2 linked regions of the Mytilus edulis genome follow. The protein of the gene in region 1 interacts with the protein of each later gene in a pairwise test. Links are inferred from orthologs where the notes say so. Each region holds a gene or a part of one and is shown in the gene's direction. Other genes may lie near its edges.

Region 1 (15,504 bases):
ATCTGTAATATCAATGTCATTTTGTCTTCAAACTTATTATCTGTAATATCAATGTCATTTTGTCTTCAAACTTATTATCTGTAATATCAATGTCATTTTGTCTTTAAACTTATTATCTGTAATATCAATGTCATTTTGTCTTTAAACTTATTATCTGTAATATCAATGTCTGTAATATCAATGTCATTTTGTCTTTAAACTTATTATCTGTAATATCAATGTCATTTTGTCTTTAAACTTATTATCTGTAATATCAATGTCATTTTGTCTTTAAACTTATTATCTGTAATATCAATGTCATTTTGTCTTCAAACTTATTATCTGTAATATCAATGTCATTTTGTCTTCAAACTTATTATCTGTAATATCAATGTCATTTTGTCTTCAAACTTATTATCTGTAATATCAATGTCATTTTGTCTTCAAACTTATTATCTGTAATATCAATGTCATTTTGTCTTTAAACTTATTATCTGTAATATCAATGTCATTTTGTCTTCAAACTTATTATCTGTAATATCAATGTCATTTTGTCTTTAAACTTATTATCTGTAATATCAATGTCATTTTGTCTTCAAACTTATTATCTGTAATATCAATGTCATTTTGTCTTTAAACTTATTATCTGTAATATCAATGTCATTTTGTCTTCAAACTTATTATCTGTAATATCAATGTCATTTTGTCTTTAAACTTATTATCTGTAATATCAATGTCATTTTGTCTTCAAACTTATTATCTGTAATATCAATGTCATTTTGTCTTTAAACTTATTATCTGTAATATCAATGTCATTTTGTCTTTAAACTTATTATCTAATATCAAGGTCATTTTGTCTTCAAACTTATTATCTTTATATCTCATACCTGCCAACTTTTCAAAATACCCATGGGGGGTTTTGCCTGCAAGATGGCTCTTATAGTCCTACAAAACCTTAAAGAGGGCCTTCAAATGTATTTTTATGTTGGGTTTTTTTTTCGCTTCTTCATACTTTTTAAATAAAATTGAGAATGGAAATGGGGAATGTGTCAAAGAGACAACAACCCGACCAAATAAAAAACAACAGCAGAGGGTCACCAACAGGTCTTCAATGTAGCGAGAAATTCCCGCACCCGGAGGCGTCCTTCAGCTGGCCCCTAAACAAATATATACTAGTCCAGTGATAATGAACGCCATACTAATTTCCAAATTGTACACAAAAAACTAAAATTAAAATAATACAAGACTTACAAAGGCCAGAGGCTCCTGACTTGGGACAGGCGCAAAAATGCGGCGGGGTTAAACATGTTTGTGAGATCTCAACCCTCCCCCTATACCTCTAACCAATGTAGTAAAGTAAACGCATAACAATACGCACATTAAAATTCAGTTTAAGAGAAATTAAAGCCTATAACATTGTAAAATTAACTGTTTTGTTTAAAATTATGGACAAAATTGCTCTTTCGAAATTTCCATTTGGGAGCTTTCATGGGGGAAATCCCCCTCAAATAGTGACAGTTGGCAGATATGATATCTTTTTATGTGTATTATAAGTAAGTGTTTTGGTCAAAAGATTCAACTAAATAACTGTTTATTAATCAAAGTGAGGATCATTAAGACAACATTGCTTATGTCAGCTTGTACTAGATTTCTTCTGCTAACCTAATTGACCCAAGAAAAATTTAGGTACCTCCCCTTAACTCTAGTTTTAGTCCTCTAAATCACACCACACATTTTACCTTAGTAACGATAGAATTAACACTAATATGTAAATTCTCTCTCTCCATGACCGGTCTGAGATAGGCCTTAGCAGTACTCCACCTCTGGCCATTCTTAATGGATGCCTGCATCTTACAAAATCCTAAAAAAAGAATTATATTTTAGAATGAATAATTATAAAAAAAAAATGACTTTTCATAAACTAAATGGTCAAAGGTTAGATACATCTGATGTCTCAAGGTCCATAATTCTGCCCCATTTCAAAATTGCCAAAATCTTTAAACAAAAGACTATCAGTTTAAATCTTATCTTAATTTTCAGTGACCATTTTTCCATACAACTGAGTTTGAAACAAGGTTCAACTGTAGAGTCATGTGTCTAACAAATCTAAAATCTTCACAGGGTTAGTTTAGAATGGTTTAACTGTATTTGCTGAAATAAGAATCTAAAGTTTTATATTTAAAAAAAAAATATTAATTATTACCAATCATATCTTTGCCATTACAATCCACAGTTTTATAGCCTGCTTCTTCTGATGCTGCCATGTAAATGTCTCTTAACTCTGTCACATGACTTTCTGATACAGTTTGGTAGCCTCCCTTACCATGGTAACCTGTGAACACATCATTATAATTATCATACTACTCATTGATACAGTTGTAGACCTGTCACATAACAATGTCCATCTGATGTTGTCGTTTGTTGATGTGGTTCATAAGTTTTCTTGTTTCTTGTTTCTTTTAAATAGATTTGACTGTTGGTTTCCCGTTTGAATGGTTTTACACTACACATTTTGGGGCTCTTTATAGCTTGCTATTTGGTGTGAGCCAAGGCTTTGTGTGGAAGGCTGTACTTTGACCTATAATGGTTTACTTTTATAAATTGTTATTTGGATGGAGATTTGTCTCATTGGCACTCATACCACATCTTCCTATATCTATATAAATCCTTGAAATTGCATAATTTATATAGAAGGCATAATGAAACTATGAATTTGTGATTTTATTCCTTTGACCAATCCTACAAAATTATTGAGAAACCATAATTAGTGGAACAGAATTCCCTCAAATTCATTTTGTTTTATTCACCTGAATCAGCATATTCCTCCATTTGGAAGTCCTCTGCTTTTATAAAATATGGTAAAACATCTTTATAACTCCATCCAGGACACCCTTCTGTTTCCCACTGATCGAAGTCATGGCGACTACCTCTGACATAGACCATGTTGTTAAGGTTACTAGTTCCTCCAAGTACTTTCCCTCTTGGCCAGTATGACCTCTAACATTATATATTAAAAATTATGTTAGTTTATTCATACTCTTGGCCAGTATGACCTTTTGACATTATATATTAATCATTATGTTAATTTATTCATACTGAATTAAACTTTGAATGGTATGAAAATCTTAATTTCTAGCAGCCACTGATAAATTGGCCCTTCCACCAATTCCACATTTCATGTAAGATTATATTGTCTTTCACTAATTTCCTTAGTCTAAGTATTATTTGGAACTTATCATAATGCTGCTACTATTAAGGTGCTAGGGGAATAATTTTGATGATTTAGAATAAAATCCAGTATCAGATTAAATTCCCTTCACCAAGTACTATATATACCATGGTTATTACGAGTTAACATATTTAAACAAACGAATCCGAAGGATGAGTTTGTTTAAATATGTTAATGAGTAAGACACATGGTATATAAAATTTGTAATATAAATAAAATGATTGACAGCTTCAAGACCTTCAACTAATATTGGAAATTGATCACGTTACAGTTTTATCCAATGAAATGGAAGCTCGCGCAAGCCAGTCACTTTTGCGCTTCGTGTATGATCGTCTGTATATTTCATGTAATAGAACCCCTGAATTTGCAGAAAGTAAAGAAAATGTCGGATTTAGTTTTGCGCCCCGTGTATGATTGTAGGCGCAGGTAATTTCATAATGTCATCAGACTGAGGTAAACAAAAATGTCGGATTCCACAAGGATTAAATAATTATTCTAATGACGGTAAGAATTGTTTTTTTTTGTTTTTTTCAATGTATCATACAAATTAATCATATTTTACAGAATTTTCATCTAATTGAAAAATGCTTTTCTTCCGTTATTTTATTAGATTATTTATTAAAACACAATTTTAATGATAAAACAATATTTTAACAGTGGCGGATCCAGGGGCGTAGATAGTGTACGTCCCCTTATCATGTTTTTTCACAGATATTTGTAGCCGATATTTATTCCTTTTTGTATAGATACCCCCCTTTTTAAATCGAAATTTAATTGCATTTTCGCAAAGGAAATGATAGTTTTACATTTTATTTTTTTCAAAACTGAAAGAAGAAACATTTAGTAATTGTTTCCAAAATTAAGGAAATTCGTAACAATCCTATATAGTTTGAAAAGGATTTCTTTAAATGTGGTACACATAATTTATTGCCTTTTCTTATAAAATGAAAACAAATGAAGATCTTGACCTTTTAGTATGTTTTACAGCTTCCTAGATATTTTAGAGGCGGATACATTTAAAAAAAAAGGTGGAGCTTCAGCCATGGAATAACATGAAAATGAATATGTTATACCATGGATGAAGCTCCGCCTTTTTTCCTTTGGATTCTAGTCGAGTTGCATATTTAATTAGCAAAGTATGGTACAACATAAATTTGCATATAATATACCATGGTTTTCCCTCACCACACTTTTTAAGCAAATTATTTCATAAAAACATCAAAGGAAAAAAATCCAATTTATGTTACAATTCAATATATATGATATTTAGATTTTGGTTTTAGAGCAAAGTTTTTAGGTTAGATAAGAAGCGAACTTTCGTCTCTCTGGTAGAGAGTTGTCTTATAGGTGATCATATTACATCTTCTTTTTCTTATATCAGGTGGACTGAATAAATCTTTATGCATCTTTGGACTGACCTGAGTGGTAATATTTTGAGTCAAGACATTCATATGAGTTCAGGATTGACTTGTTTTTAGTGAGAACACTGTTGGTATAAATCTTCATGTCAATCAATTTAACCATTTTTGTGAAGAACTTTTTGTATTTTTACCATTGCTACTTGTCAAGTCAGTTTTGCTCATATCTTGCCTTCTTTTGGTTTATCTAAGTGTTTGCATGCCCTGTGCTACATCTCTTTGTGCTTATAAGTATGATTCCCGAAGAATTTCCTCCAGAAATATTATATTAAGAACAATACTATAATACTGGGGATTTTTTTATTTTTGTGGGTATCAATTTTCGTGGATTAAGGAAAACCAGCATTTTCATGGTTATTTGAGTTCATGGTTTTCCCAATCTCTGCATACAAAGCTTATAGAAAATGAGTAATTCATTGAACATTTGAATTCATGGTTCACCTGTAACCCACAAAAACCACGAACATTGGGATCCAACAAATAATGATGAATCAACAATAAAAGTTCTGTTTAGCAAAAAAATATTTTATGACCTTTTTTCATTCTGAGCAAATATTGTAATATTTCTTCCAGTGGCAGTAATATTTCAGATTTGAGTTTTCCTTGGAGTTCTGTATTTTTTTTATTTTGATTTTTACATAATTTTTTTTAAATGGATTTAATATTATTATGTATTTTTTTTTGGTTATTGATGTGCTTATGCTTAGTTTGTGAAGCATATTTTTGTCTTTAAGTTATAATACTCCAAGTCAAGTTACCTTTTCTCTCATGCTCTGTGAAGCATATTTTTGTCTTTAAGTTATCATACTCCAAGTCAAGTTACCTTTTCTTTCATGCTCTGTGAAGCATATTTTTGTCTTTAAGTTATAATACTCCAAGTCAAGTTACCTTTTCTCTCATGCTCTGTGAAGCATATTTTTGTCTTTAAGTTATCATACTCCAAGTCAAGTTACCTTTTCTCTCATGCTCTGTGAAGCATATTTTTGTCTTTAAGTTATCATACTCCAAGTATAGTTACCTTTTCTCTCATGCTCTGTGAAGCATATTTTTGTCTTTAAGTTATCATACTCCAAGTCAAGTTACCTTTTCTCTCATGCTCTGTGAAGCATATTTTTGTCTTTAAGTTATCATACTCCAAGTATAGTTACCTTTTCTCTCATGCTCTGTGAAGCATATTTTTGTCTTTAAGTTATCATACTCCAAGTTAAGTTACCTTTTCTCTCATGCTCTGTGAAGCATATTTTTGTCTTTAAGTTATCATACTCCAAGTCAAGTTATCTTTCCTCTCATGCTCTGTGAAGCTTATTTTTGTCTTTAAGTTATCATACTCCAAGTATAGTTACCTTTTCTCTCATGCTCTGTGAAGCATATTTTTGTCTTTAAGTTATCATACTCCAAGTCAAGTTACCTTTTCTGTCATGCTCTGTGAAGCATATTTTTGTCTTTAAGCTATCATACTCCAAGTATAGTTACCTTTTCTCTCATGCTCTGTGAAGCATATTTTTGTCTTTAAGTTATCATACTCCAAGTCAAGTTACCTTTTCTCTCATGCTCTGTGAAGCTTATTTTTGTCTTTTAGTTATCATACTTCAAGTCAAGTTACCTTTTCTATCATGCTCTGTGAAGCATATTTTTGTCTTTAAGTTATCATACTCCAAGTATAGTTACCTTTTCTCTCATGCTCTGTGAAGCATATTTTTGTCTTTAAGTTATCATACTCCAAGTCAAGTTACCTTTTCTCTCATGCTCTGTGAAGCATATTTTTGTCTTTAAGTTATAATACTCCAAGTCAAGTTACCTTTTCTCTCATGCTCTGTGAAGCTTATTTTTGTCTTTAAGTTATCATACTTCAAGTCAAGTTACCTTTTCTATCATGCTCTGTGAAGCATATTTTTGTCTTTAAGTTATCATACTCCAAGTCAAGTTACCTTTTCTCTCATGCTCTGTGAAGCTTATTTTTGTCTTTAAGTTATCATACTCCAAGTATAGTTACCTTTTCTCTCATGCTCTGTGAAGCATTTTTGTCTTTAAGTTATCATACTCCAAGTATAGTTACCTTTTCTCTCATGCTCTGTGAAGCTTATTTTTATCATTAAGTTATACTCCAAGTCAAGTTACCTTTTCTCTCATGCTCTGTGAAGCATATTTTTGTCTTTAAGTTATCATACTCCAAGTCAAGTTACCTTTTCTCTCATGCTCTGGGAAGCATACTTTTGTCTTTAAGTTATCATACTCCAAGTCAAGTTACCTTTTCTCTCATGCTCTGTGAAGCATATTTTTGTCTTTAAGTTATCATACTCCAAGTATAGTTACCTTTTCTCTCATGCTCTGTGAAGCATAGTTTTGTCTTTAAATTATCATACTCCAAGTCTAGTTACCTTTTCTGTCATGCTCTGTGAAGCTTATTTTTGTCTTTAAGTTATCATACTCCAAGTCAAGTTACCTTTTCTCTCATGCTCTGTGAAGCTTATTTTTGTCTTTAAGTTATCATACTCCAAGTCAAGTTACCTTTTCTCTCATGCTCTGTGAAGCATATTTCTGTCTTTAAGTTATCATACTCCAAGTCTAGTTACCTTTTCTCTCATGCTCTGTGAAGCTTATTTCTGTCTTTAATTTATCATACTCCAAGTATAGTTACCTTTTCTCTCATGCTCTGTGAAGCATATTTTTGTCTTTAAGTTATCATACTCCAATACAAGTTACCTTTTCTCTCATGCTCTGTGAAGCTTATTTCTGTCTTTAAGTTATCATACTCCAATACAAGTTATCTTTCCTCTCATGTTCTGTGAAGCATACTTTTGTCTTTAAGTTATCATACTCCAAGTCAAGTTACCTTTTCTATCATGTACTGTGAAGCATATTTTTGTCTTTAAGTTATAATACTCCAAGTCAAGTTACCTTTTCTCTCATGCTCTGTGAAGCATATTTTTGTCTTTAAGTTATAATACTCCAAGTCAAGTTACCTTTTCTATCATGCTCTGTGCAGCATATTTTTGAGGTTCTGTATAATACTCCCAATCATGATCACTCCTCTGGAGGGCAACAAATCCTGCTGGGATTTCAAACTCTAGAATTCCTAATTCAGAACCACCTGCTTCTATTAATAAAACCGATTTATCTTTGTCTTCTGACAGGCGATTGGCTACCACTGCTCCTGCAGAACCTGCTCCAACTGAAACAAAATGATCATGAAATTAAGGAAAACACAACAAATCACTGGCAAAGGGTCACAATCTTGCCCTCTCCTATCCATTCCAAATCATACTCCTAAACAATATACATTATATAAGACGAGTAAGCTCATACACTTATCTAAACAATTTTAAAAATACAGATTTTATTGGAACAATTTCTTGTTGATAATGTGTATTTATTCATGATTGTTCAAGTTATTGGAGAGGGTAAAATTTACTCAAATAATAAGGTCAAGTGGTAGAATCTGTTTTTCAAAATATTTTATGAAAATATCCTAGAAAAAATATTCCAAACAGACAATTAAGCTACAAGAAATAAAACATAAAAATTATGTAAACCTGTGATTTAACAAATATTTAGCCAACTGGTTAGAACTGGTTTATTTTTACTGGGGTACATGAACAATAAGAAAAAAGGCAATGTCAACCCATCTCGATAATTAAGGAGTAGACCACAGAAATAAGTTAATTAACCTATATACACATTTAGTTTGTTTGCTTTTGTTTTGCTATACAATTATGTGGTTCATAAGTGTTCCCCATTTCATATTTTTTTCATATAGAATAGACCTTTGGTTTTATATAGAATAGACCGTTGGTTTCATATAGAATAGACCGTTGGTTTTATATAGAATAGACCGTTGGTTTCATATAGAATAGACCGTTGGTTTTATATAGAATAGACCGTTGGTTTCATATAGAATAGACCGTTGGTTTCATATAGAATAGACCGTTGGTTTTATATAGAATATACCGTTGGTTTTCCTGCTTGAATGGTTTTACACTAGTAATTTTTAAGGGCCCTTATAGTTTGCTGTTCGGTGTGATCTAAGGCCTGTGTTGATGACTTTTCTTTGACCTATAATGGTTTACTTTTATAAATTATGACTGTGATGGGGAGTTGTCTCATTGGCACTCATACCACATCTTCTTATATGTATGATAAAAGAACTCACCAACAATATAGTCATATGTTGAGTTGAGAGGTCGACTGAGGTAGATATCTGATGGCTTGTTGAAGTAGAAATAACCGGCAATGACAGCTATAGCCAACACAGCTATAGGCATCCATGAAAAACACATGTTGAACACTGCCTCTCTGAAATACACTTAGGTGGATATATCTACAATAGAAGATAAGTGTTTCATCATGTTCATTGGCAGTTGCAATGGTAGCATTTAAGGTTCAATAACCTGGCAAAGGTTATGTTTTGTTCCTGCAATTAAGAATAAAAAAGTTATAAAGATGTGCAATATTTTCTGATCGATATAGCCATTGCTATTTTGGCAAATTCCCCTTGTAAGCATGATAGAATTGTTTAATTCCATCCTGCCCTCAGGAATTTGATTATAATCAGGTATATGGAGTTTTTGCTTGACTGTATAATTTTTTTATATACTGCATTGGCAAAAAAAAAGTTCAAGCGGCCCTGTCAGCCAGGATTAGCGATAAGGTGTATAACATAATGTAACCGTAGACACAAATATTATTGTTAAAATTCGTAATTGATCGGATCCTTACCAAACCCTATATTCCAGCAATTAGTCTCCAACGTACTATATTTTTTTTTTTTTATTGTTACATTTTCATGTAACCGGAGCCAGTGTTTCATGTTATTGCTAATTCTGTCATAAATTTAAACAGCTCTACCATAAAATGAAAATGTTGTGTTAACCAACACTGGCAACACCAAAAGACGACGGACGCCAAGTGATGTCAATGTCTTACACAGTTTTATGGACCAGGTGAACTTAGAAAATGGAAAATCGGTACCTTATTAACGTACAATTTACAACCTTTGATCAAGGCTTCGGCTTCGGTCTAGATTTTGACCTCGGTTTTTTCGCAAAAGGGGAGATAATTTGTGTACATTCGGAAGTATCGAGTTCCGAATGCAAAGGCAGCATGGATCACAGAAGTTTGACCACTGCATTGAAAGAGTTTTCATCATTGACTTCAAAACCCGAGGACTTTTTAAGGTAATATTCTCGGGTTCTTCAATATATCAGTTTAAATTATTCTGTTAAATTAACATGGGGCATGTGCGACCTGTGAAAGAGGACGAAATGAAAATGAAAACACCATGATTTAGTAGTCCAAATAAATTATTATGACGTCTTGAAAGGCTATCAAATTTTTTTTTCTTTGACGCCTTACTTCGACGTCGAAGTAAGGCGTCAAAGAAAAAAAAAAATATAATAGCCTTTCAAGACGTCATAATTATTTGGACTACATGATTTAGTAGTCCAATATGATAACCGTGAAAGTGACGGAGGATTAATGATCTCATTAGAGGAATTAAAATAATAATAATTTTAATTCTAGGATCTATATCTTATTTTAATAATAAGTAGCTCCCCAGACGATTAGGTGGTGTTTCAGTCCAAAATTGAAGAACAGTAGTGGACTTATTACGTTGTATAAACAACGGTTCTCCAAGATAGTGGAGGAATACTACAAAAACAGAACAGAACAGAACAGTCCAAACTACTCTGATGTCAATTACCCAAGCTGTTGTTTAATCTTGAGAAATTTCCCAAGTTAAACTTTTAACAGCATTAAATCCACAATCTTGCAAAGTACTCAACTGCTTAAAAAAAGCATATGAAACAAATAGTAATACCTTGAATACACTATTGAAAATGTGGAAAAATACATATATATATACATGTATATTCAACACATTTACCATGGGTGTCAAAATGACTTCATCAGTTACGATTTAACCAGGTGCCTATTTGACTAGCAGCCTGTTTGACTCTTTCAGCTGCCGATTTGACTAGAATCCATTTTTTGCCTGTCAATGTGTCAACTCTTGACTTTGTGAGATAAAATCCTTTCAGTGGCAGGTGCACTTGACTCCAATCTTTATTGACTATTTAATTGTCAGTTTTCCCTAATGTACGGCAGGTTAGTCCTTCTCTCTGGGCGTCTACCTCCACTGATATTAAAAAACCAACCACCAAGATTGAAGAAATAGCACAAGTCATGATTTTGTTGAAATTGCCTTTTAAAAACACCAATCTGACAACCATTATGTGTATTTAAAATTATAAATAAATGCTATATTATGACTTTAAGGATTGACTACATCATAAAATTGAGAATGTAAATGGGGAATGTGTCAAAGAGGCAACAACCTGACCAAAGAGCAGACAGATTTGTAAAAGCAACTTGCTTGTTTCTGAATCCTTACTATTATTTCATTGTACAATATCGTTTAATGTTGACTTATCTGAATGAATATTGTTTAAACTAACAGGGGAATGTTTATTGACATTATTTGATCAACGTACAGTTTTTTGGAAAATGACGCAGTCATTGTTCCATAACTGGTGACCTGAACTTCATTACATTTCTCTGCCTACCGCGCTTGGTTTCGTATTTACTATTTTCTATACAAACTGGAATCTGCTTGTGTTATCATTAATTATGCATGAGAGGTCATTGTGTAGTAATCAGCCAGGAACCAGTTTACAAACTAACTGGTTTCTGCTTGTATTCACTACACTTGGACAAAGTGTTGTAGTTTGACGGGAACCAGTTTAGAATTTGTAAACTACAAAACGTAATCGGTTATTGTTCATTCCGTTTTGGTGTTTCATACCGACTTTTATGGTTTGAATAAGCTTAAGACCCTTCAAACATTAATGTGATAGGTATATTAAAGACTGTTTTACAAAAGGATGGAACTGTTTTGCTTTCAAAGTCGTACTATAGTGATATCTGTTATGTACGGATTTCCACTCTCACCGGTTAATTTCTTTTTTTACACGTGCTTTTGAAACTTCCTGTTTAAACATCGCAAGTTTTAAAATTGTTTTTTGAGTGAATTTAACTTATTTTAACAATCATGAAGCGTTCCAGAATCATTTTCAAGCAGTTTCTTCTTCTCTTTGATGATGGAAAATAGGTTTTTCTCAAGAAAATACCGCAAACGATCGCAGAGGAATTGAAACGTACAAGTCAAGTCGGAACCTGGTTAAATTGGCATCTAGTCAAATCGGCACCTATTTGACGTCAATTCGGCATCCAATAATATTTGTTATAATATTTTCTATTCAATTAATTAATAACTGTTACCAAGTACATAGTGAATATGTTGTTGTGTTTATAGGTAAGCAACGAAACCAAAGTGAAATTATGTTGTTGTGTATAAAGGTAAACAACGAAGCCCTTACCCAAGCTGTTGTTTTAACAATTAGACAATTATTAAAAAAAAATGGAAAACTATGAGTCCCTTTCAATAAATCAAACATTCATGCCAAATAATTTAAGCAAATTTAAGGTGTTTTTTTTTCAGTAAAGTTTAAAAAGCATTAAACAAACAATCCTGTAAAATGCTCAACTGGTTCACAGGGGCTTGTTTAGTGGGTCAGACGAGGTTTTACTGTCAATGGCGATCAGGATAGCGATCGCCATTGACAGTAAAACCTCGTCTGACCCACTAAACAAGCCCCTGTGACTGGTTTAAATAATGCATAAAAATATCCAATATCTCATGTATTAGTCCAAATAATTATGACGTCTGGCAAGGCTATTTTTTTTATTCTGTGACGTCTTCCTACGAAGTTCGTAGGAAAGCTTTCTTAGGAAGGCGTCCCAGAAAAAAATTAACATAGCCTTGCGGTCATAGAAAGGTGTCCCAGAATAAAATTAAAAAAGCCTTGCCAGACGTAATAATTATTTTGACTACTCATATATATATCATTAAAGGGAAACTTCGCAAAAAAATGAAAATTTTATATTATGTTTATTTGATATAAATAATCATAGATTTGTTAAAATTATTGTTCAATTCTTCTAGATAAGTGATTAAAATAAAAATTAAAATCCCACTATCACTTCTCGACTTATCGCCATTTTGACGGCATCTCCGATACAAATAGTCACGTGGTGAGTATATTTGAATAAAATATCTGAATACCACAAAGCGAAAAAACAAGCATGGCATATCGTATATTCAGTATCAAAATGACTTGTCAAGCGTACGAATGTACAACTCGGAGTTCCCATGGCATAAGCTTACACACTTTCCCAGATCCTGCAAAAAAGAAAGAGTTGTACCAGACGTGGATGATTAACCTTAATTTAACACCAACCACCTTCACTCACAAGTTCAAGAAAGTGTGTGCAGACCATTTTGAAGCATCTTGTTTCGTTGGAAATTTGATAGTAATTATGATTTTTTTCTCATGAATGTTTTTATTGCTATTTCGTTCCAAGCCTGGTTGAAAGATATTGTCAGATTAATGTAGTTCAGTATTTCGGCATTCATGCATTAGTTACAGATTTTGTTGTTTACAAGTTTAGTAAACGGATAAAAAGTCACAGACAAAAAGTCACAACAAATTTGTTGATAATTTTTGAATATAAACAAGAAAAAAATCTTCAAATATTATATTAGTTATTACATTTATTCAATTTTAAGTTTATGAACTTGTTTATAAGCCTTAAAAATAAAAAGATATTTGATTTCAATCATGAAAGGGGATATATTTCTTGGCACAATGAAGCCATAAAAGGTACCTAGCCACTTTGGCATTTTGATTTTATAACAATAATGTGATGTCATTTATATTAATTTAATAATTTCTGTTTAAAACTTGCTTTAAAAATAATATTTCAAGAACAAACCAAAAAAGAATTATTTAATTTATACGTTTTCTCGTTTAAAGAAAAATAAACTCGAAACTGAATTATGACGTTTTGTTTTGTGACTTTCTGTCGTAAATTCACCAGTTCAATGAAGTATATTTTTTTTAGGTGCACTAATTTTATGTGTACATAAAAAATTAAAAATTACGTAAAACATTTAAAGGTTCATTTGTTTAATATAATAATGGTTTAAAAATAAGACTTTATTTACATGTAGTATAGATGCTGTTTAACCCCCCCCCCCCCCCCCCCCCCTCCCCTTAACTTAATAGATCTTACCGCCCCCTTGTTATGTTTTTTATCTGTCTACTAGGTCAACCCAGTTGCGTGGTCCTACAAGTTAAGGCTAAGCAGTTTCGGGATATAAAATGTCGACAGCTAGCCTAACGAAATTTGTAATGATTTATGGTCAATCGCAGGAGTAATTTTTCTTCCTAAATTTATGATAGGAATACATCTAGTAGGGTGGACACTAATTTGGAAGTTGTAAAAGCATAAAATTATTCTAATGAGATTAAAAGGTATCTGTAGCGTCTTTCAACTTTTCGAAATACTATGCCAAAAAAAGTCTTTTATCTGTAATAGATTTTATTCATTTCGGGTACTTAACTCTAATATGAAAACCGACGATCTTTTGAATTATTGCCAGAGGTCGTGTAATAGTGTCACATTCAGGTATTCTAGTGACTTCCTGCGGGGTAATAAACTGGTGACATTACGCAATTCCGGACCTAGCTGTTTGACCCAGGTGTGCACAGGTAAAAGTGCCATCAAAAATGCAGTCAGGTGTATTATACATCCTGTTAACAATGTATGCCCCTAATCTGATTGAAATACACAAATCCGTCCAAATATGAAATTAAGAGTTTAAAATTTATATCCACATGCTGATTAATTCTGACATGTGCAAAGACAGAAATAATAACACCGTAAATTATTAATTTTGACTTCGGTTTCAAAATTAATATGTTGAAGATTATCTAGTACTGTACACCAAGGATATTTAAATATACAATTCCTTGTGTACACGTACCATGTAAAATGATTTTTTTTTGAAATTTCAATTGTACAAGGGATTTACTTTTCGGGATGGATCCAGTCATATTAAAAAGGAGGGTTCCAACTATATGTCTGACTACAAATGCATTGATCGGCCAAAAAAAGGGGGTTCCAACCCCCGAACCCCCCCCCCCCCCCCCTGGATCCGCCAATGCTTTTGTACACAATAACTTTCATTATGTTTTGTCAGCTTGTTTTATTTGCTTATCAAATGTTAAATTTAAGTTATGGTCTTGAGTTGTGATGAATAATTTAAGAAAAAAAAACTGCATCATTTTACCACATTGTTTTGATTAAATCGTAGAGAATTTAACCGACCATTATGGATGACTATCTTATACTTTCTTGTCCTATTTCCGATATGAGCGGGCGCAATTACGAAATAACTTGCTATTAGGAAATTTGCGTTTACTTGTATGTGAAGAGACAAGCATGTGCAATTATGACACGAAGTTGATACTTAGTTCGTGGTTGTCTCTAGAAACGGCATTCGATTGTCTTTCTGTACATGTACATTCAATTATTCAAAGGAGTTGTCATTTTTTCAATATAAGATTTTTACAACACTAAAACACACCCACGAAATCGGTGGCATTTCCAGCTTTTAAGCTGTTGTAGGATGATTTATTGAAAAAAGATTTGATGTAATGAGAAAAGGATATATATCAAAAGCGTTCTTCCTTTTTGCCAAAGTCCGTTATTTGTTTCCTTACTGTTAAATTACATTATTTCGATTTTCTGACATTAGACTTACTCTTCCCCGTTGCTACAAGGCATTTCTTGGTAAAAGTCAAATTAAATTAAAAAATTTGCACCGCTTCAAACATGAAATAAATGTAACTGCTTATAGACCATTATTTTTCTCATAAAATATGCTTCTAGGACAATCCATCAGTGCTTTTTCTTTTGAGAGCCCTATCATATGACAATGGTATGATTTGAATCTTTTATGAATGACTAAGGTTA
Region 2 (16,044 bases), on another chromosome or scaffold:
TGATACCTATTCAGTTTACATACTTATTGCTTTTTTTTCAATTGAGTTATTTGCTTTCCACAACAAATTAATATTTAAAGAACGATAAGATTACATGAGATTTTCCCGTCAAACAAAACCAATGCAGATGTGACAATGAAGTGGGTTATATACATTTTCCCACATGTAACTAACTTTATTTGTGAGTAACTTTTTGTCCCTGATAATGATTTTTGTTAAGAAATCAAATGTATGTGAGAGGAAATATTTTTGTTTTTTATGTCAATTTAGATTTTTTTTTAAATGCTCGCAAATTATTACATTATGGTTATAGAGTAGTCTCATGTACATCCAAATTCATTCTCTATTTTCAATTTAACTTACTCTCATGGATATTTCCTGTCAAAAATAAAATGCTGAAGACTTCATGAGCTACAAGAAAATATACATATTTTTGCTGAAAAAATTACTAACTTTGTAATCTGCACCTCCAAGTTCCTTGATTCTATCTTCCCAGTGACCTTTCTCTCGTAATAATTTATTGATTTCATCATTTAAATCACGTAGTTTGAATTCTCCTAAACCAGCTGCAAAAAGTCATTAGTAGTATGAAACTATTTAACTGAGAGTAAAAATTTACAAAAAGCACATTGAATGTTTTTTATCATATTCATATCATGCAATGATCCCATATCTAAAATACCAAACATCTTTAAGATTAGAAAATACTATGGAAGATATTGTCATTATACATATTTCCGCTTGATTTATCTAGTAATGATCTATACCGTGTGATGAGTTTTTACCTAGATCTATAGGTATACATGTACTTCCTGAAAATCAAAAAAAAAAGTAGGGGTTTCAATAGTAAGCAATAACTCCTGGCTCAACTTGTTGATTTGAATTTTAATGTTATATGATTGGACAGGAATCTTGTGTCAATTCTCACTTCTTCATTCATACACTTTTTCTTAAACGACAGGAAAACCATCTATTGTAAATTTCGTCAGATTTATGCCACTTTGGTTCTAATTTAGTTGACAGTCCTCATTGAATTTCAATAAAAATAGATTTTGTATAGACTAGCACTGGTAACATTTTTGAATTTGATAAAAAAAGAAATCTATTTAGAATTCATGTTGTTATCTTACCATTTTGTATCTGTGCCACTTTCCTAGACACTTCTCCAATGATCTGTCTTCTCCATTTTTCACACTTATGAAGTTCATCACATTCTGTGGCTAAATATGGACGTCTCTCCTGAAGACAATAAAATTGTTACAGCATTAATGCTAGTTGTATTAAGAAAAACATTCATAATGTGAATCTGATGTTTAGTACATGAAATTGTCAATTGTTGATGTGGTTCATAAGTATTTCTAGTTTTTTATATAGACTAGACCGTTGGTAATTCCGTTTTAATAGTTTTATACTAGTAATTTTTGGGGCCCTTTATAGCTTGCTGTTTGGTGTGAGCCACAGCTCCGTGTTGAAGAATGTACTGTGACCTATAATGGTTTACTTTTACAAATTCATTATTGTGATTTTGATGGAGAATGTCTCATTGGCTCTCATACCACATCTTCTTATATCTATATATGATTAATAAATGTTTGTATTTAAAATTCAGCATGAATTATCTTCCATTCATTATTTCCAATCTACTAGTTTATGTTATCTTACTATGCACATCTATTAATTTCTCAACGAAATAATGTTTAGTAAAATCAGTATGTACACATCAACTTAGGACTGAAACTGATAACCAAGGTACTCATGATAAAAGTGTGAACGAGTGTAAAAGACAAATTTTGGAACTTTTAAAATAATCCTTCACTTGTAAAAATATCTATTTAACAAACTGTAATATTGACTAGCTCGAATTTTTTTGGGTATATAGTTTATTTACTGTTACCCTGAATTACCAGTAGTTAGATGTACAAAAGGTAGATAAGGTGGAATGCACTATTATATTGATTTATTTATGTAATAAAAGAAACCCAACAGAATATACAGCTCATCATACCTGATCTTTTATGCCTCCTTCTAAATGAGCAGCCCGCCACCTGGCCAAGGTGGTCCTGAAACAATAAAAAAATATCATGAGGTGAAAAAAGTTTTTTTCTTCCAAAATAATATAACATTTTTTTACTTACACATACATGTAGTTGAACATCCTGTTTAACATGCATAACAAATTGCATATGTACTTGTATATAGGAATAGAAATATCTGTATGTTTTTTTATCAACTCATAATGCAATTAATGCCAGCTAAAATTATTTCAGTTTCTGATGTTAATTCCCACTTCAACCATTTATTGCAATGTATATGTTGTGTACAATTTGTAATGTTAACAGTCTATTATTTGAACTTGGAATTATTTTTAACTATGGAATTTGCTTGATTTCTTGTTATTGAAATTTTTAATAAATTCCATGATTATTCTGTACTGAAATGTTCTGTGCTGCGCACAACACTTTCTATTACAAAGAAAATAGTCTATTTTCAATAGAATGTACTGTGCCGCGCACAACACTATCTAACCAAAATACATTGTATGGAAAGTGTTATTAACCGCTCAAAAGATCATAATACAAAATAAACATGGAATTTATAAAAAAAAATTAAACACAAGAAATTATGCAAATTCCATAATTAAAAATAATTCCAAGTTCAAATAATAGCCTGTTTGTTGTACAAATTATAATTTGTACAGATTTTTTGTAAAAGTTATCAGTGTGACCTGCTGAACAAAAATTGATGATGCAAGCACACAGTCTTTTGCTTCGCATATTTCTGTCATATTTTCACAACTTCATGATACAGTCTAATACTGAGCATTGATACAAAAACATTACAAGACCACATAAAGATTTTGTATGGATATGAATATGGTATAAGGAAAAAAATAAAATTAGAATTTGAACCATTCAGGTATCCTCATCTCCAGATTGAAGACAAGGAGAATAGCACTAAATGTTAGGTTGAAGTGTATTTTTTTTAAATTTAAAACATGACACTAGTACATTTTATAAGATAAACCCGTATCACCTGTTGCAAGAAGGTAGGTGTCAAAAAAAACTTATAACTTGTACAAAAACCCTGTACAAATTATAATTTGTACAAACTTACATCTTGTACACAACATATATATCCTAAATTGATATATAGTGTAAATTATTTTGGATAGATACAAATGAACACAGATAAATTTTAATTGATTCAGATTAAACAAACTCAAATGTAGAGACTTTACACAAAACAAGGTTTTTGGACAGACATTAAATTTTACCAAGTCTATCAAAATTATTTTTGCAAAGAAGTCAAGCTGGTGCTGGCGGTATTGAAAATGCAGTGAGGTGAGCGTGTTTTTTGTGCTGTGTTGAAGACCTCACTTTAACTTTCAGACTAAGAACAGCAATAAAAGTGCTGTTCTTTTGCTTTTTGTGAGTTTTTTTGCTGTTATTAAATGTATCAATTTTGTGTCATAGATGGATACCCCATGTACTTTGTTTTTCTATAACATGTATGTATATATCCTAACCAATAATGATGTAGTTATGGAGACATAATAACATTTTTGATACTCACATGGCCTTCTCACTGTTTCTAGCCTGATAATAGAAGATAAGAATTAGATTTAGAGTGTTATAAAGTTTAACTACAGTTCAGTTTTTAAAGTGAAAATAGTTTTAAAGAAATAATTTTACAGCAAGGAATTTTCATTTCAGAATAGTTTGTCAATTTTGGTTTTAAATATTTTTGTATTTTTCTGCAAAACTTACAATTTTTAAGGTTCATATTTGGTATATCTTTAAAAACTCGGTATATATTTGTTAGTAATTTGATAAAGCAGTACACTGAAATTTCTTACACTTTTCAAATGGGGCCTGGACCCAAGGCAATGGCAAAATCAGGTGCTCCACAGGACACAGCTTGAAACGACCACAGAGGTCGAACCCTGAACAGTTGGGGCAAATATGGACACAACTTTCAAGCTTGATACAGCTCTGAATTTGGATTGTGATCAAATTTTTGACATAATATGAGTTTCTGACACAAAAAAAAATGTCAAGATCTTACAAATCTATTGTGCAACATTGTGCAATTAAAAGATTTCTTCTTCAAACTTTTCAAAAATTTGGAAAAAAAATGAAAACTGCTATCACCCCCCTTTTTTTGCAATAAGTCCAAAACCGGACATTTCTTTATACATTATTTACAAGTAGTGAAAGGAGGTAATTAATCAGAACATACCCAACATTGTATATTAAATGTTTTTGAATTACCTCCCTTACACTGCTTTTAATTGTCTTAATTGTCCTTTGACCAGAAAAACCTAGTTTTCCCCCTTTTTTGGCCCTTTTGCCCCTAATTCCAAAAAAAAATTGATCATTAACCCCCAAAGTCAATACTAACCATCTCTTCATGGTATGGAAACTTGTGGTATAATTTCAAAGAGATTCATACACTTAAACACAAGTTATTGTTTGAAAACTACAAAAATGCTTATTTTGGGCCCCCTTTTTGGCCCATAATTCCTAAATTATTGGGACCATAACCCCCAAAATCAATTCCAACCTTCCTTTAGTGGTATTGAACCTTCTGGTAAAAATTTATAGAGATCCATTCACTAAAAAAAAATTATTGTCCGGAAACTAAATGCATCTTTGGATGAGAACGACGAAGACGACGTGATACCATTATACGACTCAAAATTTTTTTTGTGGTATTATAAAAATTGTTTTTTAACATATGAATTGGGAAGAAACATTGAAAAAATAATCATTGTGTTCAACATATTTGAAGCATGTTTATATGGTATTTATTATTTTAAAATTCCAATTTTCTTTCATGTTCTAATTTGAACATATCAATTCAGACATACAGCCCTGAGATTTATTGCAAGTTTCTGACAACTGTCACTAGTTTTAAGGGCATACGATACAGTTACATGGGAGGTAATGACGTTGCTAACGTAAAATGTTATTTTCGCGACGTCAAACTATGACATATCGGGAAAAGATGCATTTTTCGACTGATTTTTATCATTCAAACTGATTTAATTTGAAAACGAGTGCATGGACTCCTATTTTTAAAACAGCAATTTGTTACATTTTGCAAGGAGATTATGTGACCCAAATTTTATAAAACTGTAAATAGCGCAATTTTTTTTATTTTGATAAACATGCAGCAAAAAATGACGTTTTTTCCTCTATTCATGAACATTTGATAAATATAGAGTTATTTCGGAATAAAAATTGCATAATTTTCAATGATACTTATAAAATACAGAAATTACCGATTATTTAACAAAAAACAATTTGTGTTTATCTTTTGAAGCAAAAAAGTTACGTCGTTCTTTCGAAAAAGAAAATACGGACACAAATCTGAATTTTGAGCAAATATACAAAATGTCGACCTCATTTTACTCAAAAAATAGCACATGAAGGTATATTTTTTATGACAAATTTGATTTAATCAGGTAAAAAATAGCCTATATGCAAATTTTCATCAACTTGTAAATTTTTATACAGGTTCAAAACTGTATCATATGCCCTTAATGGAAACCTTTGGGATATACATAAATGGCTGACAAATACTGTTAATACTGTAACTGTATACTCTAGATGGTACCAGCATGTTCCTGACGCTAGTAATTATCACTTTAATCTTTTGAACTTATATGATCTTATATCATGTCCAGTTTCCTTGACGTCCATCTCATGTAAGCTGCTAGAGCACATAGTACTCAGTTCTATAATGGACCACTTTGACCAAAACAACATACTCTGCGATGAACAACATGGGTTTAGAACCAAACGGTCATACGAGTCTCAGCTGGTAATAACTATACATGAAATAGCTAAGAACATGGAGGACGGCGACCAGACAGACATCATCCTGTTAGACTTCGCCAAGGCCTTTGATAAGGTACCACATGCCAGACTTCTTCGTAAAATGGACTATTACGGGGTAAGAGGTTCCCAGCTCGAATGGATTAAACAGTGTCTGTCTAACAGAACTCAGTCTGTGATCCTTGAAAAACCATAAGTCGGACCCTCTTGACGTGGTATCTGGAGTACCTCAGGGCACTGTGATGGGCCCCTTACTCTTTCTGGCCTACATCAATGACCTCCCTGAAGCAACAACATCAAGCGCTAGACTGTTTGCTGATGACTGTCTACTCTTCCGCCGCATTAGGAATACAGCAGATGCAGACTTGCTGCAAAAAGACCTAACCTTGCTGGAAAAATGGGAAAAGGAGTTGCAAATGTGTTTCCACTCAGGACGACGTCATCAACACCAGATGTCCTACACACTCCATGGACACACATTAGAGACCAAAGACAGCGGGAATACCTGGGGCTCACTATCAACAAAGACCTCTACTGGACAACCCATATCAACCAGACCATAGGGAAAGCCTCAAAGACACTTGGCTTCTTACGGAGAAATCTTGGTAGGTGTACTCCAGCAACAAAAGCCACAGCCTACTCTACCCTTGTAAGACAAACCCTGGAATATGCCTCCCCAGTATGGGATCCTCACCAAATCACCACCATACGTGACATAGAACAGGTACAAAGACGAGCAGCTCGCTTTGTTTATAGTTGCTACCAGGACAACTCTCCTGGATGTGTAACTAAGCTACTGGACCAACTCCAATGGGAATCACTGCAGCATAGACGATGGAAACAGAGTATAGTGCTGTGTTACAAGACCCAACACCAGATGATTGGCATTGATCCAGCCAAGTACTACACGACAGGAGACAGTAGGACCAGGGGCAACCACAAACTTAGACAAACTAAAGTGAAGAGGGATGTATACTACCACTCATTCTTTCCAAGAACAACTAGAGAATGGAATAAACTCCCCGAATCTGTAGTGGAGTACGGATCCCTAGAGGACTTCAGGGCCAGAGTGAATACCATCCCCTGGACCCAGCCACATCTGAAATAGACAGCAGGATAACCAGTGTACATAGATGTAATTAATATCATATTTTATTATAAATACTGTCAGGATTATTTCCTGGACTTTTATTTTTGGCCAGAGGAGTGCCCTCCTGTCTGTTTGAGATGCGCCCGAGTCAATTACACTTTAAGTAGAACGGGAAGAAGAAGTATATCAATTACAAATAACCTGTTTATTTTGGGTGCCGAAATAACTTTATCGGGTGCCATTTATAGCTACTTTGGGTGCCGATTTGACCAGGTTCCAAAGTAACTAGAAATTTTAAAATAAGATACAATGTACAGCAAGGAAAAAAAAAGGGACTTTTTCAATTTCACGCCACAACACTTTCATTATCTAAATTAAACATTATTTTGGTTTAAGATATGAAAACATTCGGCTTGTAGTTATGTTTCAAAAGTTGTAGTACATATCAGTAGATAAAATTACCATATTTCAGTGTTTCACATTTCAAACGTTCAGAAAAATATTTCCGGAAGTGCCTTGATAAATATGGCTGAGCTAAAAGATGGTTCTTCAGTATCGAACATCATTTATTTTCATTTTTCCTATATCAAAATCAAACAGTTGAATAAATAGATAAGGATTGGAATATATTTAAAATTTATTGAGGGATAAATAAGTAAACGTATTTAAAATTTAGTACTGTAAAAATGTTTATATGGTCGGAATCATAATGGCATAAATTGGTTTTACCATTGGTCTGTTTACTTCCGTTTGTTCAACACGTGTGTTTTTGTATTGCTGTATTTATCTTTAATATAGAGATGTAGTAAAAACAAGAAAGTCAAAATGGTAAGGGATAACCAAGACATCAAACACGATGTCGCAATACATTTAGTCAGAATATAGATATTGATATTTGTACCCTGTGACCTAGGAAAAGAAGAAAAGGCTAATGTTTATACAAGAAGTAGAAATTAAATACTAGTAAATCATGTAAATTATATATACTATAACTAACAACAACCTCATACCCCAATTTTTTCTTACTGGTTAACAGATTCTAGTGAACAGGTGAACCAATGACTTCACTTTTGTGTCATCATTTATAAACTTCTGTTGTCAGTGTTGCAGAAGAGACATTTAAAAGTTTAAACCTTGTCCTCTGTCTATAAGCTTGTCTGTAACTTATAAAGTTTGCCTCAACCAGGAATATATATGTTGTCAGGGCTTGACACTACCTAATTGTAGCTGATCTCATCATCAGGTTATAGTTATTAAAGACACGATATGGATTGGAAATTGACATGTGTTAAAAAAGTACTTGCTATTATACTAGCCTCACTGGACACAATTACGAACGATTTTTGAACTTTAATAATTTTTTTCTATGTAGAATACTTTTCTTGAATTGTTTGTACCATAGAATTAAAGATGTATGAATGCTTTTCATTTTGAATTGTAACACACATAATTTTCTATTTACGTTGGGATACTTTGGTAAGATTTTCATGACCTGGTTTTATGGGTCTAGCAAGCCCAATATGGACGCAATTACGAACGGCACAATATTTATATATCTGGCAGAAAAAATCAATGACAACGATCTAAATTTATAAAACATACATTAATCTTATCTTAAACACATTTCCTAAGAAAATAAGAAGTGTAATATGGTATTTTACTTCAAATTCTTCAGCAGTAGTTGAAGACGAAATTAGTGACAAAAAAAATTCTTTGAAAAGGAAATAATTCAGATTTTTTGTTTTTATGCAAGTTCTTTCGTCTAAGAAGCACTGAAATCTCTTTTTAGTTAGCGAACCTATGATTTTAATTTATATTTAGCCTTTACTTTCGGAGTTCTCGGGACTTTTCAATAAAAATACTATTTTCTTTTGACAATGCTCAGGGTCACCCGAGTCTGAGAAAAGGTTCATTTTTTTGTTTATTTGGGCAAGATAAAGGGTATCACAGATATGAACAGATTCAGGAGATATTTTTCTATCTATATAATAACAAAAGAAGGCAATTTACACTAACTTGTATGCTTTATTCATGTAATTTCCAAGAGAGGGAGTCATTATTTTGACATTTACGAAACTTAATTTTTCGTCGTCTGTAACATTAACCAAGTGCGCATGAACTTTTTTTTCGTGAAAACACAAGTAATGTAGTGGGTTTTTAATTAATAGAAACATTTATTAATTATCATTCATAAATATAATATAAGGGGGCAAACATTAAAAATCGTTCGTCATTGTGTCCAGTCGTAATTGCGTCCGGTAAGGCTAATAATTTCTGATAAATTTCAATAAAATGTCATTCAAACTAAGTGTTGGAGTGATGCCAGAGTATCAAACTTGTAAACAGTTGGTTCAAATTAATTATAATTGCATTCCTTTCATCATAGAATGGCATAGAATGCAAAAGGGGTAATAAAAATCAGTTGACATTTGTAGGCATGGTAGAGTTATAAGTATTTTAACTTAGGAATCTGGTGAGATTTGTTTATCCAGTGACAATGTGGGGCCGTGGGATATGTGAGTGGTTCTCAAAGGTTTTTTAATTTAATTATTACTTTTTTTCAGTCAGAAAAATATTCTCCATTGATTCCCCTTGATATGTACATGTACATTGAATGCCGGAAATATAGTCAAAACCCTAAAATACAATTACATTGTTTTAAAATAAAAAATGCATATTGTGGAAAACAGGTGACATTGGTAATAAAGACTTTAACCTCGGAATAAATGTACTTGTATATACATTTGACTTCTGTATTATATGTAAATAAAAAAAGTTGTTTATAGATGGACTATGATGGATACATGTACAAATGTAAGTGAAAAATCCTCAGAATGTCATAATCTAACCACTTTCATATTTCGATCAAACTTATCAAAATACTTTTGGGAGTTATTGCCCTAAAAGTCAATTTTTCTCATTTTTGTTTGACAAATATCTTGATAACAAAACATAGAACGTGTAAAAAAACATGTACATGTAGAAAGAGATAAACTTAACATACCATAAAAAATAGATACATTTAAACATGAAAAATAATCCCCAAAGCAAGATATACAAATAAGTCACATGACTTAAAGTGACTGTAAAATGACTGTTTAAATTGGGTCTCATTGGGGTGGAAGCGTGACGTGGGATTGCCTTTTTTTTTTATATGTGTGACGCGTGCAAGTTAAATTATTGTGCCGTGAAAACGGGAAATGAAGTCTAGCGGGACACAGGAAATTACAAAAAAATGAGAATTGCTTACTTACATAGTGTAAGAGGGATACAGGAATCTCTGACTAAACAGTAAGCGGGATCAGAACCCCCCCCCCCCCCCAATGAGACCCCCTTAAATGGGCTTCCTTCCCTTTTTTTCTAAGATTTTCTTCAATTTATTAATTATATCATTTCAAGGGTATAAATGAAAGTGCTAACTGGTTAATTAGTGGAGGGCAATTAGATTTTGGGATGTGGGTCTGGGCTTACTACATGTAGATTGAAAAAATAAATTAATGATGTTTTTTTTTAGCTAAAGCATGTACATGTAAAATAAATTGGCTGATCCAGGCACTAAGAAAAGGGAATTTAATGACATTGGTTTCCCGAAGAAAAAAAAAAGATATAAAAAAAATAACTATACTTTTTTGTAAATTTAGAATTCAATTTGATCCTGTATTTTATATATTTTTATATGTATCTTTTAGTTAAGAAGACAAGCTAGACTTAGAAGAGAGTATATATACAGAAAATCTATAGAGGATAGAGAGAGAACAATTCTAGAGAAAAAGCAAAAATTAAAGAATGCTTTAGATGGTAAGCATAGACAAAATATCTGTGTAGTATAAAAAATGTTGATGGTTTCATTTAAGCAAAAATAATATTGCAATGGCTGGAATTATATTCTGTTGTCCTTAAATTTAAATTTATTTCTAAGTTTGAATGAAATATTGATTGACAAAATCTTATAAGTTATTTAAAGAAATTTTGAAATAAACATCTGAGTTATTATACTCATGTAATGCTAAAACACAGTGATTGTTTTCTTGGATATAAATTATCCCCCTTAAAAAAAGAATCGGCCTCAAGTTTTCTTTAATATTACCAATCAAAAGAAAAGTGATTTGTCTACTACTTTAGTTATCATACATCTTACAGAGATTTGACACTTATATTGCAGATAACAATCAGATACCCACTGATCTACAGAAAGATGCTGTCGACCTTCAGAAGACTTTGGACTGGGATGATAAAGGGGCTGATGGTATTATCATTTTATATTTACAAATTAAGAAAATCTGATTTTTTAGCATTTTGTTTTTAATAAACCTGATAAAATGAAATACAAAAGTAAATTATTTCTTAGAAGATATGACTATTTAAGGAAGGACTAATATTTTTTTCTGTCTATGAAGAAATCACATAGAAAATGCACACTGAATAACATGCGTAGCAGGTTATTTTAAAGTATGTACCACATTTGTTATTTTATTTCAAAAGGAACAGAAAAAATATTACAGTTATTTCTTATAATTTAATTCTAAATTCCATTTTAAACAGGAGTAAATGATGAAAAAACGTTGATGACGTAGTTACATGACGAAATTATGTCTATTAGATGATTAACAAAACAACGTCAGCCAATCAGAAGTATTACATCAAAAATTAAATTATTGGATGATGTTAGAAAGTCCTAAATCCACCTTAACTGTAAACACAATAAACACAAATATTGTCCTTCAGAAACAGTTTAGAATAGGACATAATTGTACATTTGTACTTACAAGTCATTTGGCGAAAGATTATATTAGAAGAAAAAAAAAATATAAATTTAAACAAAAGTCTTCTCATGGATGACTTTTATACCAATTTAAGATTATCAACAATTAGTATAAAAGATAAGAAGATAAAAACTTTTATCATTTTATTAGAGATTTAAATTAAATATGTATTATTTTTATAAGGTCTGACCACTCACATTGATGATGAGTATAAATGGGCTGGAGTCGAAGATCCTAAAATCATGGTCACCACATCCAGAGATCCTAGTTCTAAACTCAAGCAGTTTGCAAAGGTTTGTTATTTTATTTCAACCCTTTCCTCTTGATTATGAATATGGATAGGAAAAAATTGCATATATTTATAATTTTAATTTAAAGAAAGTAAAGAAATAATCCTAAATTTCCCAATGTATTTATGATTGGTGGTTTACACAACTTTCAGCACTATTATGCTATTTTGTTGCAGTCAATTTTAATTGTTAAAGGAAGCATGAGAGAACCATTTACCTTTAGTAGGAACACTGACAATCATAGCCAGTTGAAAGTTAAGCTCACTTGCTACTTGCCACATGCAGGATTATTTTTTGATACTCAAAATAATGAACAATTTATACATGTGCTAAATCATAATTACAGCATCTTATTCTATATATATGAACATTCAGACCCTGATTTTTCTGTTTTTTATAATATGAAAAACTTATTTAAAAAGTTTAACAAAATTTTTACATCATCTTAAAAGATTCCATTTGAAGTTCTATAATTCCTGCGTCTTGAATTTGAAATGTCTCCACCATCAGCTAAAACCAAAGTAATCAACCATTGGATTTTATTTAATTGAGAGAAGCTAACCCTCATTAGTTTTTATATGACCGCAAAACATTTTTGCGTTCGTATAATGGTATGATGTCGTCGTCAAACCTTGTCGTCGTCGTCTGTGTAGTCCGAATACACATTTGGTGTCCGGACTATAACTTTAGGTTGTTTAAGTGAATGGATCTCTATGAAATTTTATAAAAAGGTTTAATACCTCAAAAGGAAGGTTGGGATTGATTTTGGGGATATTGGTCCGAACTGTTTTGGAATTAGGGGCCCAAAAGGGGCCCAAAAGAAGTATTTTTCTTTTTTCAGGATATCAACTTGTGTAAAAGTATTTCAATTGCTCTGAAATTGTACCACAATGTTTAATACAACAGTTAAAATGATTGGATTGATTTTGGGGGTTATGGTCCCAAAGGTTTAGGAATTAGGGGCCAAAAAGGGGGCCCAAAACAAGCACTTTTGTAGTTTTCAAACAATAACTTGTGTTTAAGTGTATGAATCTCTCTGAAATCATACCACAAGTTTTAATACCATGTAGGGATGGTTAGTATTAACTTTGGGGGGTTATGGCTCAAAATGTTTAGGAATTAGGGGCCAAAAAGGGGGCCCAAAATAAGCATTTTTGAATTTTTCAAACAATAACTTGTGTTTAAGTGTATGAATCTCTCTGAAATCATACCAAAAGTTTCCTTACCATGGAGGGATGGTTAGTATTGACTTTGGGGGGGGGGGGGGGGGGGGTTATGGCTCCAAAAGTTTAAGAATTAGGGACCAAAAAGGGGCTCCAAAATGAGCATTTTTGTATTTATCAAACAATAACTTGTGCTTAAGTGTACGAATCTCTCTGAAATCATATCACAAGTTCCCATACCATGATGGGATGGTTAGTATTGACTTTTGGGGGTTATCGCTCAAAATGTTTAGGAATTAGGGGCAAAAAAAGGGGAAAAAATAGGTTTTTGGTCAATGGACAATTAAGACAATTTAAAAGCTGTGTAAGGAAGGTAACTAAAAAAACAATACAATGTTGGGTATGTTCAGATTAACCTCCCTTACACTTCTTGTAAATTATGTATAAAGAAATGTCAGGTTTTGGACTAATTGCCAAAAAAGGGGGGTGGTAGTAGTTTTCATTTTTTTTTCCAAATTTGTGAAAAGTTTAAAGAAGAAATCTTTAAATGCGCAATATTGCGCAATAGATTTGTAAGAAATTGACATTTGTTTTGTGTCAGAAACTCAAATTATGTCAAAAATTTTATCACAATCCAAATGCAGAGAGCTGTATCAAGCTTGAATGTTGTGTCCATACTTTCCCCAACTGTTCAGGGTTTCGACCACTGTGGTCATATAAAACTGCGCCCTGCGGAGCACCTGGTTAGTAAGGAGTAGCAAGAAAAAGCCTCACATTCTTGGAAAATTTGAAAAAATCCATATTATTTATATTTCAAAGGGGACTATTTTGTTGGTTTTAGTTACAAGTCTTTTTTCTATTTCTTATACATGTTATTTTTTCTATTTCTTTTACAGGAGATGAAGTTGATCTTCCCAAACAGTCAAAGAATAAACAGAGGAAACTATGAAATAAAACAGATAATAGAAGCATGTCGAGCCAATGATGTGACAGATCTTGTAATATTACATGAACATAGAGGAGTTCCAGGTAATTCTATAATGTTTCGAGAAAAGTTCTTTTTCTGATTGATAAGTTCATGATGCAGTGAAAGTTCATGTGAGTAATATGTATTTTTTTGCTATCAATTGAAGCATGAAACTCTGATGCATAGATAAGCATTTACTGTGACATTTATTACTAAGAGTGTTACTTAAGCAAATTTCCTTGTCATTTTTGTATACTGGAAATTTTAATTCCCTTTAGATAATCAATGTTTTGCTTCTGATTGTCTAGTTATTATATGACTTTTGTTTTGAGTTTTTTTTTTTATCAAAATATAAGGCATGGTGACAGTTGTGTAGTATTGTGATTTGGTATGTAATTGTCTTAATTGCTTCCCCAGAACAGTTTTTGGTTCATCTAATTCTTCTAAGACTTGCTAAAATTTGCAATGGTATAATTTTCATATAAGGATGATTTACTAGAATTTGAAATAAAAACCACATGTTGTAATAAACTATGTTCACTGCAATGTTAACTATATGAGTACAAACTATGCACGAAGGTTTGGTACCATTAAAAACGTTTAAACCCGCTACAATTGTTTGCACCTGTCCTAAGTCAGAAATTCGATGTTCAGTAGTTATCGTTTGCAATTTTGTTGATGTGGTTCATAAGTGATTAGACCATTGGTAATCCCATTTGAATGGTTTTACACTACTGACTAGTAATTTTTGGGGCCCCTTATAGCTTGCTGTATGGTGTGAGCAAAGGCTTCGTGTTGAAGAGTTCAAGACCATACTTAGACTTTTAATGGTTTCCTTTTATAAACTGTGACTTGGATGAGACTCATGAGAGAGTTATCTCATTGGCACTCATACCAAATCTTCTTATATCTATGAAATATATGCTAAATAACTTATCATTGATACCATGGAATTTAATTTACAAAAATTAATCATTTTATGTTTTTTATTTAGATGGTTTAGTAGTATGTCATCTGCCATATGGACCCACAGCATACTTTACGTTATCCAATGTTATTATGAGACATGACATACCAGACGTAGGGACTATGTCAGAGGCTTATCCACATCTCATATTTAATAAACTTACCACAAGACTTGGAAGAAGGGTAAGACAATAATCTGTTTTAATATTCATGAAAAAGGTATTAAGTTATATAAAAGGATAACATTAAAGCTTACTATATTGCTTTATATACTGAACATGTTTTCCTCTACTAATATTTTATACCTTAATTATGACATCATAAGATGACCATTATAACACAACAGATAGGTCTAGCAAAAATCTAATTGTAAGTACTGTTTTAAAGAAAAGTCAACCAGTAATACACTTTTACAGTCCTGATTTGTGCCAGGCACAGAGAAAACTGTTTGAGATGTGTCTGTAAGAAACAATGGAAAGGTTTAAAATATCTAAATCAGTTATAATTAGGTTATCTCCCTTCTTGAAAGGAAATACAGATATTTATTAATGAAAGTTCCATGATTTGTTAGATGTAGTTGAAGTAGTTCACTGCCATATTGTGATCAATCTGCACTACTAGTATGTCGGGGTGGAAATGAGGTTATTAAAGTAGCATTCTATCTTTTAATAAAAATTTGTTCATTGAAAAAGAAGGTGTATGCAAGTATTGATAGTAAAAAATAGTGTTGTCAACGATTAACCGGTTAACCGGTTAACCGTTCGAACGATCGAATACCGAATACCAAAAACGCTAACTGGTTAACCGGACTTTTTTTCAATTTTAATAGATTTAATATAAATTTGTATTGAAATCATTAAATATTTATGTTGTCTTTAAAAATTGTCGTCGTGGTAATTAATTTGACAGATCAATTGTCCAGTATATTGATTGCTATTGTTAATCCAAAAATATATAATTAATTA

The links.
Region 2: the proteins of U3 small nucleolar ribonucleoprotein protein MPP10-like (region 1) and U3 small nucleolar ribonucleoprotein protein IMP4-like interact in a two-hybrid assay, tested with the Drosophila melanogaster proteins (2 studies listed by BioGRID). The link is inferred for Mytilus edulis from reciprocal best matches to the Drosophila melanogaster genes CG13097 and CG11920.

Annotation. Positions count from the first base shown.
Region 1 is NC_092347.1:2,502,038-2,517,541, forward strand, and holds the start of U3 small nucleolar ribonucleoprotein protein MPP10-like, read left to right. Parts: upstream 1-9,667; 5' UTR 9,668-9,726; coding exon 9,727-9,800; intron 9,801-15,504. Other genes in the region: glucose dehydrogenase [FAD, quinone]-like, read right to left, coding at 1,719-1,840, 2,183-2,311, 2,787-2,976, 7,590-7,798, 8,777-8,903.
Region 2 is NC_092344.1:30,350,367-30,366,410, forward strand, and holds the start of U3 small nucleolar ribonucleoprotein protein IMP4-like, read left to right. Parts: upstream 1-7,645; 5' UTR 7,646-7,755; coding exon 7,756-7,758; intron 7,759-10,619; coding exon 10,620-10,728; intron 10,729-11,092; coding exon 11,093-11,176; intron 11,177-11,876; coding exon 11,877-11,986; intron 11,987-14,042; coding exon 14,043-14,175; intron 14,176-15,107; coding exon 15,108-15,262; intron 15,263-16,044. Other genes in the region: pre-mRNA-splicing factor ISY1 homolog, read right to left, coding at 454-566, 1,131-1,239, 2,006-2,060, 3,574-3,596, 7,393-7,395.